3 linked regions of the Sus scrofa genome follow. The protein of the gene in region 1 interacts with the protein of each later gene in a biochemical or structural test. Links are inferred from orthologs where the notes say so. Each region holds a gene or a part of one and is shown on either strand. Other genes may lie near its edges.

Evidence for each region.
Region 2: the proteins of AP1G1 (region 1) and SYNRG form a complex in vitro, tested with the Homo sapiens proteins (2 studies listed by BioGRID). The link is inferred for Sus scrofa from reciprocal best matches to the Homo sapiens genes AP1G1 and SYNRG.
Region 3: the proteins of AP1G1 (region 1) and CLINT1 form a complex in vitro, tested with the Homo sapiens proteins (2 studies listed by BioGRID). The link is inferred for Sus scrofa from reciprocal best matches to the Homo sapiens genes AP1G1 and CLINT1.

The regions. Positions count from the first base shown.
Region 1 is NC_010448.4:14,807,016-14,811,107, reverse strand, and holds the start of AP1G1 (AP-1 complex subunit gamma-1), read left to right. Parts: upstream 1-1,286; 5' UTR 1,287-1,698; intron 1,699-4,092. UniProt on the Homo sapiens protein: Subunit of clathrin-associated adaptor protein complex 1 that plays a role in protein sorting in the late-Golgi/trans-Golgi network (TGN) and/or endosomes.
Region 2 is NC_010454.4:39,067,027-39,071,180, forward strand, and holds the start of SYNRG (synergin gamma), read right to left. Parts: upstream 2,817-4,154; 5' UTR 2,712-2,816; coding exon 2,635-2,711; intron 1-2,634. UniProt on the Homo sapiens protein: Plays a role in endocytosis and/or membrane trafficking at the trans-Golgi network (TGN). May act by linking the adapter protein complex AP-1 to other proteins. Component of clathrin-coated vesicles.
Region 3 is NC_010458.4:65,496,225-65,500,303, forward strand, and holds the start of CLINT1 (clathrin interactor 1), read left to right. Parts: upstream 1-1,261; 5' UTR 1,262-1,452; coding exon 1,453-1,493; intron 1,494-4,079. UniProt on the Homo sapiens protein: Binds to membranes enriched in phosphatidylinositol 4,5-bisphosphate (PtdIns(4,5)P2). May have a role in transport via clathrin-coated vesicles from the trans-Golgi network to endosomes. Stimulates clathrin assembly.

The sequences.
Region 1 (4,092 bases):
CACAATGGGAACTCCTAAAACTAAGCTAGTCCGACTCAGGAGGTGGTCATGTGGGTCAAATTAAATTATATATATGAAGAACTTATTATATACAATGCAATATCAATATTTAATAAAAATGATGTTACTATTATTACACTCTTGGTCTCCTTTCTTTCCAGCCTTGGCATGCCCCAATTGTTCAAGAGCAAAATTGTAAGGTGGCCCTACTCAATTTTTGTAAAATGCTTTGAAATCCCTTCCTGAAAATGGCTAAGGAAAAAAACCTCCTGTCTATGACAGGTCCTAAACTCAAGGTTTGTGGTTGATTCAGCTCTTTGTCATCTAGCTAGGTGCTGTGCTTTGTTCACTTTTGGGGATATTCTATTGCCATTCTACCTGAATGATTTTAGTTTAGATAGGTCACCTTTCCTTTAAACAGGCCAAGATATCATGGTAGTCTTTATGTGCACGTGGAAAATATTCGTGTAAGGTGTTAGTAATTATTTATCAAGCCAGGACCTGGCTGATGCCTCAGGTTGGCCTGTATAGTTGGCCTGTCTTTGGCGCAGGTCATCATGGCATGGAGTCAGTGAGAAGGCACACTCTGAAAGGTTTTAGCTATCGATAGTCCAAATCCTCTTTTTTTACATGAGAAAACTGAGTCCCAGAGACTTTAAATGTCTTGTTCAATGCAGGAGGTTGAGAGATGATACTGGGGTTGGAATCTGTTCTTCTGTGTCTTCTGCTTTTTTTTTTTTTTGTTTTTTTTTTTTGCTTTTTAGGGCCGCATATGTGGCATATGGAAGTTCCAAGGCTAGGGGTCCAATCTGAGCTACTGGTCTAAGCCACAGCCACAGACAGCAAGGAAGGATCCCAGCCGCGTCTGCAGAGTACACCACAGCTCATGGCAACTCCGGATACTTAACCCACTCATATCCTCATGGACTCTAGTCGGGTTCACAACCCGCTGAGCCACAACGGGAACTCCTTCTAACTCTATTTTCACAAAATACGTTCCAAGGTGCCATAAAACCTCAGAGTCCAAGATCACTTGGAGTATGTTTCTGAAATTAAACCTAAAGAGAATGCTAAGGTCTCAAAGAAGATAGGAAAAGAATCTAGGGTTCTCATGGCATAGGACCCACTTAGCCTAGCTCAGAGTTCTCCGCCCCCACCTGCCTCGGCTCTCCACTTCCTCCGCTACCTTGCAAGCCCCACCCTCTTCAGGTGGCCCCGCCACTTCCTGGTAGCCCAGCTTCCCCACCCCCTACCCCAAGCGGAACCAATGTCCCTGGGCCCCGGGGTCGACCGGATCTTTCTTGCTCCTACTCTTCGCAGCGGTGACTCGGCAGCAGCGTCTCGCGTCATCAGTGACAGCCCCGAATTTTGCTACGCTTTGCGTCGCTCTGCCAGAGCAGTCACCTCCTCCTTGGCAAATAGTCCTCGGTGGGGTCCGAGTTCCTGGATAATAAGAGGGGGGAGGCACGAGAAATTGCAGCCAGGGGACAAGGGATCAACAAGCAGAGGGAGCTAGGGACTGAAGTTTCTGCGATAGTGTGCGAAGTTAGTTAAAAAAAACTCCCTCCCTCCTAAGAATCCTTCCGCCTGCAGTAGCGGTGGTGAGGCTGAGGGAGCCGCCATTTTGGATGTTCGGTTCCTGCTGCCACTGCTGCCGCCGCCCCCGAAGCTGCTGGTTTCATTCGAGGTTTCGGGCCGGTGAGTGTCACTCGTGGCGCTAAGAGCATACTGCTTTTTTTTGCCCAGTGCCTGTCAAGAGCGCTCGGCCGGAGACTTCCTGTCAATTCTAGGGGTCCGGTCCCAGGCCGTGGGGGGTGAGAAGAGAGGACGGAGGCTGAGCCTGTAGGGGCCCGGAGCCCCAGGAGCTCCTCGACTTCTTGAGGGCCGACCCCGAGGCCTCGGACCGGGAGGCTCTGCGCGCGGCCGCCTTCCGTGCTGCGGCGTTGCCCGGCTGGTGTGGGCCTTCTTGAACCCATTGACTTTCTCAGGCTGAGATCCTTCTTTGAGGGCTCATTCAGAAAGCCTAGGGTTAGCGGGGCGGGTCCCACCTCGGGCGGGTCCCACCCCCGCGTGTCTTCTCTGTGCCACGTATCAGCGTTCTTGTATCTTGTACCCTTGTCAGGTCTTTCGTAGAACTCTCATCGGCGTTTCCAAATGCTTCGTTAGTCGCTGTCTGCACCTGCATTGCTGTTCTCTTAGAACCGGACATTGGCCTCGCCTCTCTCTAACCTTCCTACCAACTTCTTTCCCAGTTTTCCGGGTGTTTCTTTTTCATTTTCTTTTTTTCTTAAACTCATCTGCCAATACACTGCTTATCTTCTCTCAAACTCCTGATCCTGTAGGTGTCAACTACTAATAATTCTCTCGGTCTTCTTAACTGTTGGGGAGAGTCAGGACGGTTGGTTGTGTTTCCCTGTTAGGGTTTTGTTGTAGGAGACGGGTCGAACCACTCGCTCAGAGTGTAAATATTTGTAAAGCTAATGAAACGGCTTTGCGGAGAGGAGGTGGTAGGGAGAGGCTGTCAAATGTTTTCGCATTTGTGGGGTTCCCTTCCCATGCTGAACACTTAACTTTTGGGTACTTTTTGATATTTATGTATGGTGTATATCATTGCCTATGAAAATCTACCTGTGAAAAAGAATTTCAATCTGACATAGATAGAAAGGAAAGTAACTTTTTCGGCTGCTCTGGGCATTGCTTAACAGAAGAGAGGAGTGAATGAACATATCTTAGTGACCTTAACTTTCAGTTGGTTTGTACAGTAATGTTCTTTGTTGGCTGATTCTAAAAAAGTACTTGGATTAATTTCGTGTATTGTATTTTTCTGGGGATAGTTGGATTTTAAATATCCGCTTTCATTATTCCCCATAATACTTGTCAGACTGTATACACCTTAACTTTTTTGGTTTAAAAATATAGACTCCCCAGATACCCATAATCTTACTTTTATTTTGCTCTTAACATGTTTATATTATAGCGTGCTTGAATAAAAGGCATTTCACAGTAATTCACTGATTATTTCCTACATTTCAAGTTAGGTGAGTGTTATTGAGTCACTTGTATTTCATCTCAGCCTGGATTTTTACATCTGCAAAAGAATAATAACTGACTTGAAATTGTAGCCTAGTGATTTAAACTTAGATTTATAACTTGAACTGGGTCAGATTTTTTAGTACTTCTAATCCATTTATAAGTGTATTATTCTTATCCTCAGGTTATTATCAGGTAGATAAATTCCGCTGCTAGTCATGTTTTCAGAAGAGTGAATGTTTTCATTGTAAATAGTGTTTTTGTTATTTGTTATAAGGAGACTTTACAAAAATACATTAGTTACTATTTGTGTATTTACTCTGAAGCTGTGGAGTTTCTCTTTTCCTTGAAAGAACTGTCAAACAGAACATAGATGGAATCCTCACTCATTTACTAAGTATCCTCTTGTAGTTGCTACTGACATATTCCATTTTTGAGTTCCACTTTAAAAACAAGGTATTGGAAGAACTATCACATAGGTATTATTTACTCGGTTTATTTCATGGAATTGTGTACTGGTATTTAAATACCATTCATTCTTAGGTGGTTTGTGTTCAGTTGGAGAAAGTGTCCTTTTGCTTTGCAAATGATAAGCAAAACACCATCGATTGATTAGCACAGACTTGAGTATCTACTTTGTCTAAAGAGGTTGAGATTGTACTTGAAATTAACATCATTTAGGAAACCTCAATTTATTTTCTTTTGGAAGCAATTGCTGTTCTCTAATCTGTTTCACTGACAGGAGTTCTAGATTTGGAGGTGTATTTTAGAGTGAAACTATAAAGTACAAAAATTGTCAGCAGTGCCTTTGTGATACTTAATTCCACTATTTATTTTTAAAGTCTTGAAATCAATCATGTACAAACACTCACTTTTTTTGTGATTTGTAAGGACTCTATACAAATTGAAAAAGTTGAACGAATATTTTCCAAAATATTATTTTTTAATTAAAAAAATTGAATTGGAAAACTACATACCAGAACAGATTTCAGCGTGCTTAATCCCCGTATTTGCATTTGCTGAGGATTTAAAAATTTTATGTATATAGCAGGATTTAATTGA
Region 2 (4,154 bases), on another chromosome or scaffold:
CACCAATAGTTAACAGAATGTTTTCTATGTGTAGAATGTGCCAGAAGCAGTGGAAGAGCAAAAGATGAGGAGGCCTTTAAGCAATTTATAAAAAAAAAGAGGAAAGAAATAGACAAGCTCACAAAAGATACTATCCCAGTAGGATACAGACTAATCAAAATCTTTAAACTCTTTTTTCCTGCCATACCTGACTTAAAAAAAAAATATGGGCGTTCCTGTCGTGACTCGGTGGTTAACGAATCCGACTAGGAACCATGAGGTTTCGGGTTCAATCCCTGGCCTTGTTCAGTGGGTTAAGGATCCGGCATTGCCGTGAGCTGTAGTGTAGGTCGAAGATGTGGCTCAGATCCCTCGTTGCTGTGGCTCTGGCGTAGGCTGGCAGCAACAGCTCCGATTTGACCCCTAGCCTGGGAACCTCCATTTGGGAGTGGCCCAAGAAAAGGCAAAAAGACAAAAAATGAATAAATTAAAAAAAAAAAAAAATTCTACTTCTCATCTCTTGGATAAATTTTGCCCTATATAACTATTTATTCTAAAGTGGCCTATTCAGGATACCAATCAAAGCTGGCTAATATTAATAAGGTTAGAAAATGCTAAGGCTTTTTGCTTCGCTTCTTTGAACAGAAACAAGTGCCTAAGAAATGTGGTAAATTATAGTTCATGGATTTCCTCCATTAAAAGCTGAGAGAGGTTGCCCTGTTCTTTTTCTTTCCCCCTAAAATATCCTTAGGGTACCAATCATAATGTTAGCTTCCTCACAAAATAACATCAGCCCTCACCACTGCTCTCTAAAACTCTATTATTTCTTTTTAAAAAAAAATTTATGGCCACACTCGTGGCATATGGAAGTTCCTGAGCCAGTGATCGAATCTGAGCCGCAGCTGGGGCAATGCTGGATCCTTAACCAGCTAACAGGTTAGTTCCCTAACACCTGGGAACTCCTCATATTCTTTATTAAGCATTCAGCTTCTCCAGCCTCAGAAAGTTTCCAATATAATATTTACCACACATTTTTCAAGGTAAGAATGACTTGCTCTCCAGTTTAAGAATGCAAAATTACTACAACCAGAATTTAAAGAGAAAAGAAAATCTGAAGTCAATCCTTCTAACATGTATCACAATTCAGGCCATATTTACAAAAAATGTGTTTCAATGATGCTGGGCCAAAAATGGACCAATGATATTAAAATACTACAAACTAAGGGGAATGATCCACTTAACTTTCTATACCCAAGGTCCTCCTCATCTGAAAAAAACCAAAAAAACAAACAAACAAAACCCCTAAAGAACCCCAACCCAAATCCCAAACAACAAAATCCCCCAAAACCTTGCCTGGAATACCAAATTCTTTTAAATTCACATTTCCCCAGAACTTGATGCTGTTATTTATCATATACTTGATTAAAATTAATGCCACTCAAGAACATTTTAGAAACTGTCTTCACATTTAGGACAGAAATAATTATTACATATTTGTCTTCTCCAGCCAAAAATAGACTTATATCAAGTATCCATGAAAAACCCCAGTGAAAGAGTGGCAATCAGAAAACAAAAGAGAAAGAATACAGCTTTAAATCTAAAATGAAAGATGTATAGAGAAAATAACAATGCAGTTGCACACAGGTGGTTTATTGAACAGCTACTGCTCTTTTTTCCGGGCAGGAGGTGATAACTTGAAAGACTTCACAACGTAATGTTCCTAAGTCCAAAATTCAAACACTGCATATCAAAACCCTCACACTTTGTTTTCCAAAAATAATTTAGGATGAAGATAGAAAGCTAAATTTATCTCCAAACGTGTATGAGAACCTCGGGTTGGTTAGCAAAACAAAGTCAGAGTAGGTCATTACAGAAGTGGGATGGAAACTTCCCAGAATCAAGTTTTTCCTTAAATGATGAACCTGTCAAGTTGCAAACGTTCTGGATACAGAACCATGGGCAATTAGCAGCTGAATGTGACAGAGAACAAATGTGTTTAAGGGCTAAGTCTGGAAGCTTTGTTCTGATAACTGCGTACATGCTGTTTAACAGTGACTGGCTTTTTAATAAGGAGACAAGTGCTAAGAGTTAGCTCTACAAGAGCTCTATTTACGAATTCAAAGGTCTTTAGATTTTCCTACATTTTCCCGTGTGTTAGGGAAACAAAAAGGACAAGACGCTCTTAAAGAAGAAAAGACAAATAGTACATATACACACACAACACTCAAACATGTAACATCTTGGAAACACTTGTATGCTCTGTAACAGATTTTTTTCAGAGCCCCTGGTAAAGCTCTGGGAAAGGGAAATCTCTGGTTGCTTCAGACCCAGCCAGGGCAAGAAGAGAGGCGCTGGGTTCCTTCTTTACCCAGCCCGCCAGGTGCCAGCCTCACCTCCTTCTTCCCTCCCCACTCGGCCTCAGCGGCCAGTGCCCTCGAGCCCGGAGCCCCGGAGGCAGGCGCCCGGGCTCTATCAGCCTCTTCGGCCTAGGTCCCCGGAGGACGACCTGCATCCCAGTTCTAAGGGAAAGGGGTCGGCGCGGGCGAAAACTGCCATAACCGCCGACCACCCGTCGCAGGTGCAGGGCCAGCCCTGCGTTTCGGGAGCGCGGTGAAGCCCGGAGGGGCGCGTCCAGGCCTTGTTCTTCACACCCACCTGCCTCCGCCGGCGGCCCCCGCGCCAGCTCCCGCGGCCCCGCTGCCGCCAGCTCCCGTTCCTGGCCGCAGCGCCATCTTGCTCCTGGCCGGCCGCCGCTGCCGCCACCTTCTCAGCAGCTGTCAGCTCCAGACAGCCACTTCCGGGGCAAACGCCGGGCCCCACCTCGCCGCGGCCTGGGCGACGGGGTGGGGCCACGCGCCCACGTGACCTCTCAGCGCTGGGGGAGGAGCCGCGCGCTCTCATCACGTGACTCCGCCCCGCTGGGGGTCCTCCAGGTGCAATTCTAGTTCTGGGGCTGGATCCAGGGGAGCTGATTCATTTTCTGGCAAGGCTCTGTGGAAGGTCCAGCTGGAGGCAGGGCGGCAAGGCGTCATCTTTTCCCGGTTTGAAAAACTATCATCTTGATTAGCGGAAAGAGTAGATTGAATCCTATTTTTTAAACTGGATAGTGGGTACACGGGTGTTCTTTTATTGTTCGTTACTCTTTACACAAAGAGTAGATGAGTCCCTTTGATAGCTTCACAGCGCCGATTAATGATGAGCTCTACTTTTTCCTTTCAATTTGGCAGCTTCCTTCTGGTACCCGCCCTAAAAGCTGAAGGTATTCAGCCACCTGGTAGTCCCTGTTTTTCCCATACCTACAATCAGGGACAAAACAGTAGTGTTTGGGAAGATTCATTGCTCTGAACCTATCTGGGCGTACTTTGTGATGTATTTTTCTAGTCAGACTACTCTAAGTAAATATAAAAGTTGAATGTAAAGTTTTTCGAGCCTTCAAGTAGTTTGCTGACTAGCAAGATTATAATTGGCTCAGGGCTTTTGCAGGGAAACAATTTGTAATAATTGTTATCCTTTATTGGTACAAAAGACTGGTCAGTGACTTTATTGTATTTTTTCAAACCCTCAGTGTCTCTAAGCAGTATTGGCATTTTACAGATTAAAAAAAAAACCAAAAAACCCAAGGTAAAAAGTTGTAATTTTCCTAGATCACACAGCTGCAAAGCAAGAGGACCAGGATTCAAATCTAGGTGTTTGACTTCAAAGTCCTTGCTCATTTCAACTACATCCAGCAATTTTTTCCCCCTATAATTGTCCACTAATTTCATTCATCCCCTTCTTTAGATGGAATTGTGTAGCAGATGTTCCAATTGATATAGACTGATATATATAACTAAATTCAGTATTAATCCAATGACAGACCAAATTGATACAGATTTAGCCACTTTTTTTTGGCTGCACCTGCAGCATGTGAAAGTTTGGACACCAGGTATTAAACCTGCCCTAATTTCCTACCAAGAGCTACAGCAGTGACAATGCTGGATCCTTAACCCAGAGACACCAGGGAACTCGATTATTAGTGACTTTTAATTAAGACTGGGTGGTTACACAGGTGAAAATACTGAAAAAAGAAGAAATGATAAAGTCACACGATGGGAGTGTAGCAAGGATCATAGACTCAATTTCTGTTTTTGCCTGGAATACTTTGTTCTCTTTTGCCTATTGACTGTTAAATCTGC
Region 3 (4,079 bases), on another chromosome or scaffold:
TCTCAGTGGGTTAAGAATCCAGTGTTGCCACAAGCTGCAGCTTAGGTCGCAGATGAGACTCAGACCCGCTGATAATGTGCCTGTGGCGCAGGCCAGCAGCTGCAGCTACGAGGGGACCCTTAGCCTGGGAACTTTCACATGCCACAGTTTTGGCCGTAAAAAGAAAAAAATGTACAATGAAAAGAACTGTAAAGTTTAATTAGTTGGACCACAGGAACTTCAAAGTTGCCCAACTCAAAAATGAGTCAAGAGGAGTTCCCGTCGTGGCGCAGTGGTTAACGAATCCGAATAGGAACCATGAGGTTGCGGGTTCAGTCCCTGCCCTTGCTCAGTGGGTTAACGATCCGGCGTTGCCGTGAGCTGTGGTGTAGGTTGCAGACGCGGCTCGGATCCTGCGTTGCTGTGGCTCTGGCGTAGGCGGGTGGCTACAGCTCCGATTCAACCCCTAGCCTGGGAACCTCCATATGCCGCGGGAGTGGCCCAAGAAATAGCAACAACAACAACAATAACAACAACAACAAAAGACAAAAAAAAAAAAAAAAAGAGTCAAGAGAAAAATGAAGTGACAACTATTGCAATAAAACACTGAATGTGGTAAGAATATTCACCTGACAAGTTCTTGGGCCTGTCATAAGTATTGTGCTGCTGTTTTTCTACAATTTCCCATGGAATGTGAACTGAGTTTCCGAGCTTTATAATAAAGTAACAAGGATAGCAGGTAGTTGCCTAAATATCAAAGCACTGTGTCAAAGAGTGGAAAAAGTTTTGAAACACAACCTATTCAATTTACAAGGATGGAAAAAGTTTTGAAACACAACCTATTCAATTTACAAGGATGGAAATTAAAGCCCAGAGAAGGAAGTATATTTAGACATTTGGAACCAAATACAGAGTAGCTTCTGCAAATGAGTAATACATAGGCCAATCACACTTCCTTATAATCATTATTAACATAATAATACCTTATGTTTGAAAAGCAAGTTTGAGTGTGGCAAGATTCTACACCCCTGGTTCTGAAACGTGAGCATGGAGGATTTGTTAAAGTACAGAGTGCCGAGCCCCACCCCCAGAGTTTGAGATTCTGTGGCTCAGGGGGCTCGGGAGGGGCACGGAGAACCCCGAGAGCTTAAGAGGAAGCACACTAACCTTACCTCTCCAACTCTCCCTGTTTAACTGTCCCGCTTGGCGCGCAGAGAGAACTACAAGTCCCAGCGTGCCCTGCGCGCAGCCGGCGGAAAGGCAGGCACTTCCGCTCCACGCAGCGCCTCTGCCCCCGCGTCTCGACGTGTCACTGGCGGCGCCGCGGCTGTGGCAAGAGAAGGAGCTGACTGGGGGAGTTTGAGGCGGCGGGCGGCGGCAGCGACCCAGGCCTGGATCAGCCCCGACGCGGAAGTGTTCCGGGGTCCGTGGGGAGCAGGAGAGGGGGTAGCGGCCCGGCCCGCTCGGGGCACGATGTTGAACATGTGGAAAGTGCGGGAGCTGGTGGACAAAGCGTGAGTATCGGGGGGCAGTTGTGGCCCAGGCCCACGCGGGAGAAGGGGGTGGGTGGGAAGGAGCCGGCCCTGCGCGCGGGGCCGCCAGCGTCACGCCCCCCGGCTGGTTGGCCCCATCATGGCGGCGACCGGTTGTCTCCCCGGCCCCGGGCCGCGTCCCAGTCCGCGAGTCTGGGAAGGGACCCTTCCTCTTTGGAAACATCCTCTTAGCCGCATTCTCTCCTGCCCAGGCGTTCCTCACCCTGTCCCTACCCTCACCCTTCCAGCTATAAACGCTTTAGTCAGGGGGGTGAGCAGGGTTGTCTTGAGCTGGGTCGCTGCCCTGGCCGGAGAGCTCTCTTGGCTGCGGGCTTTGGGCTTTGCTTCTTGGGCAGCAGCGAACGCTTGGGGTTAGGGGACCTAGTTCACGGGTTCTCTGCGCCCCTCATTGTGGTGCGGAGACCTTAGGTTTGGTCACGATGTGTCCTTTACCTTGCTGGGTTTCTTTTAATCCTTAATGAACCTGGTGTGTTGGAGTGGGTGGTAGGTGTAACAAGTGGCCGTTGTGGTCAGACTGAAGTTACTCAAGAGGCGACTCATCCTTTGCTTGTCTAATACGAGTGAGAGTAGATCACCACATAACTTACTGTGATTCTTTCTTTCTGATCCTTTTCCCCTACACTTCATTTCCCCTCAAGAAGAAAGCAACCCAGGTTTATATCCTGTTGATCCACTTTTAACTCCCCTGACAGGTAAAATGACTAATACATAGTTGATTTTTTTCTTTAAAACTTAAGTGATAACTTTAGTGTCTTACTACCACTAGGGAAACCTTAACACTTAAAGTGAATATATTACAGTGATGTAACAGGGGTTAAGTAAGATCTTCTAGGCCAGCAGGAAATAAAGTTTAGGAATTTAACCAGTCCCCTTCCTTTTGGGTTTTAGTGATGATGCAATAAGTGTGGTGACAAAAACAGTTCATTTGTGCTGCTCACCCAACCTAAAATCAGAAAGTGTAGATGGCAAATTCTTGAGGCTTTCGTGACACCAGAAGAAAATAATTCATTAAGAGGTATAAACTACTAGGTATAAAATAAATTAGATCCAGGAATGTAATGTACAGCATAGGGAATGTAGTCAGTATTTTATAATAACTTTCAAAGGAGTATAATAGAAAAATGTCAAATGATTGTGTTGTACACCTAAAAGTAATATTTTAAATCAACTATACTTCAACTTTAAAAAAAAATTCACAGTGGTTTGGATAGTGCATCAGATAGGATTTAGAATTTGACTATATTTTCAGATTTTCTATGCTACCAAGAAGGTAGTAGAGTGCCTAAGGAGTACAGGTTTTTGAACCTGCAGAGCTGGATTCAAGCTCTGTAACCTTGACAGATTAATTCATCTTTAAGTGCCCCAGTTTTCTCAGGTACATTATGAAAATAATGATAGACACTTACCTTAGAATGTTAATGAGAATTCAGGGCTAAGGGCTTAGATAGCATATAAAGCCCTTAATACAATATGTTTAGATCTGTATGCTTTTGATAATCATAGTCAGTGTTCTGCATCAAGAGTAAGGCTAAACTTCGTTAAGAGAGAAACTCCACGTTTGAAAAGTGATTTGCTGATTTTCCTTTATAAACTGTTCATTTGATCATTAAGCTCTCAATCCTTTATTTTGGATGTTTTGTTATTTATATACCTTTTGCTTTCCAAAGATAAAATAAAATCATAGTTCTTTTCCAGATGCAAGTTCGTTGGTTATTTTTTAATATACGGTAGAAAGACTGGGATACCAGCTAAAATAATCTTTAAAAGTGCAAAAGTCTCTGCAGAACTACCTCTTTATATCTTAGCCCGAGGACAGAAGCAGAAAAACAATTTAAAAAAACCTTGTTATCTTAGGAGACTAAATTTCTGGTACTTAAAAATTTGAAGAGACTACATTTTCAAGAGACAAATCAAGGCAATATTCTTGCTCTTGTTCATTTCATAGTGTCTGTATCACCTTTGTTACTAATCTTCAAATTAAATTTGTCATGTAAGTAGTCACCAAGTCATCTAAGGGGAGAGCCCGTTGTGAAAAATAACTTGTCTTCCATTTTACTACCCAATTTAGAATGGAGACCTGAACCAAGTTATTCAATAACATGTAAGAATGTTGCCACCAAGGACTTTTTAAAGCTTTCGTGGGTGTCTGACACATGATATTAGGATTAGAACGTGAGGTTATTTTACTGAGACATACTCAAAATTTAATTTTCATCTTTCCCTGGCAAGAGAAAACAAATTCTTCTTCCCAAATGTAAGCCTTTTACAGAACCAGTAACTGTAGCACTATGTCCAGTTAGACAGTTCACCTTAAATTACCGTAATGGAGGTGGAAGCAGATCCATAGAATGGCTCTTCTGATTATCAAAGGAATAAGGTGATGAGGAAGCTAGGAAATGAGGAAACAGAGAAGTGATTAAGGACTGCTCTGAGAGCTTGGTTGAATAGAAATGAGGGTTTGGATGAAGAACACTGGTTAAAAGTTTGGGAGACCTAGGTTCAGATTCTGATACTGCCTTTTAAATTAGCCATATGTATATTTTGAGG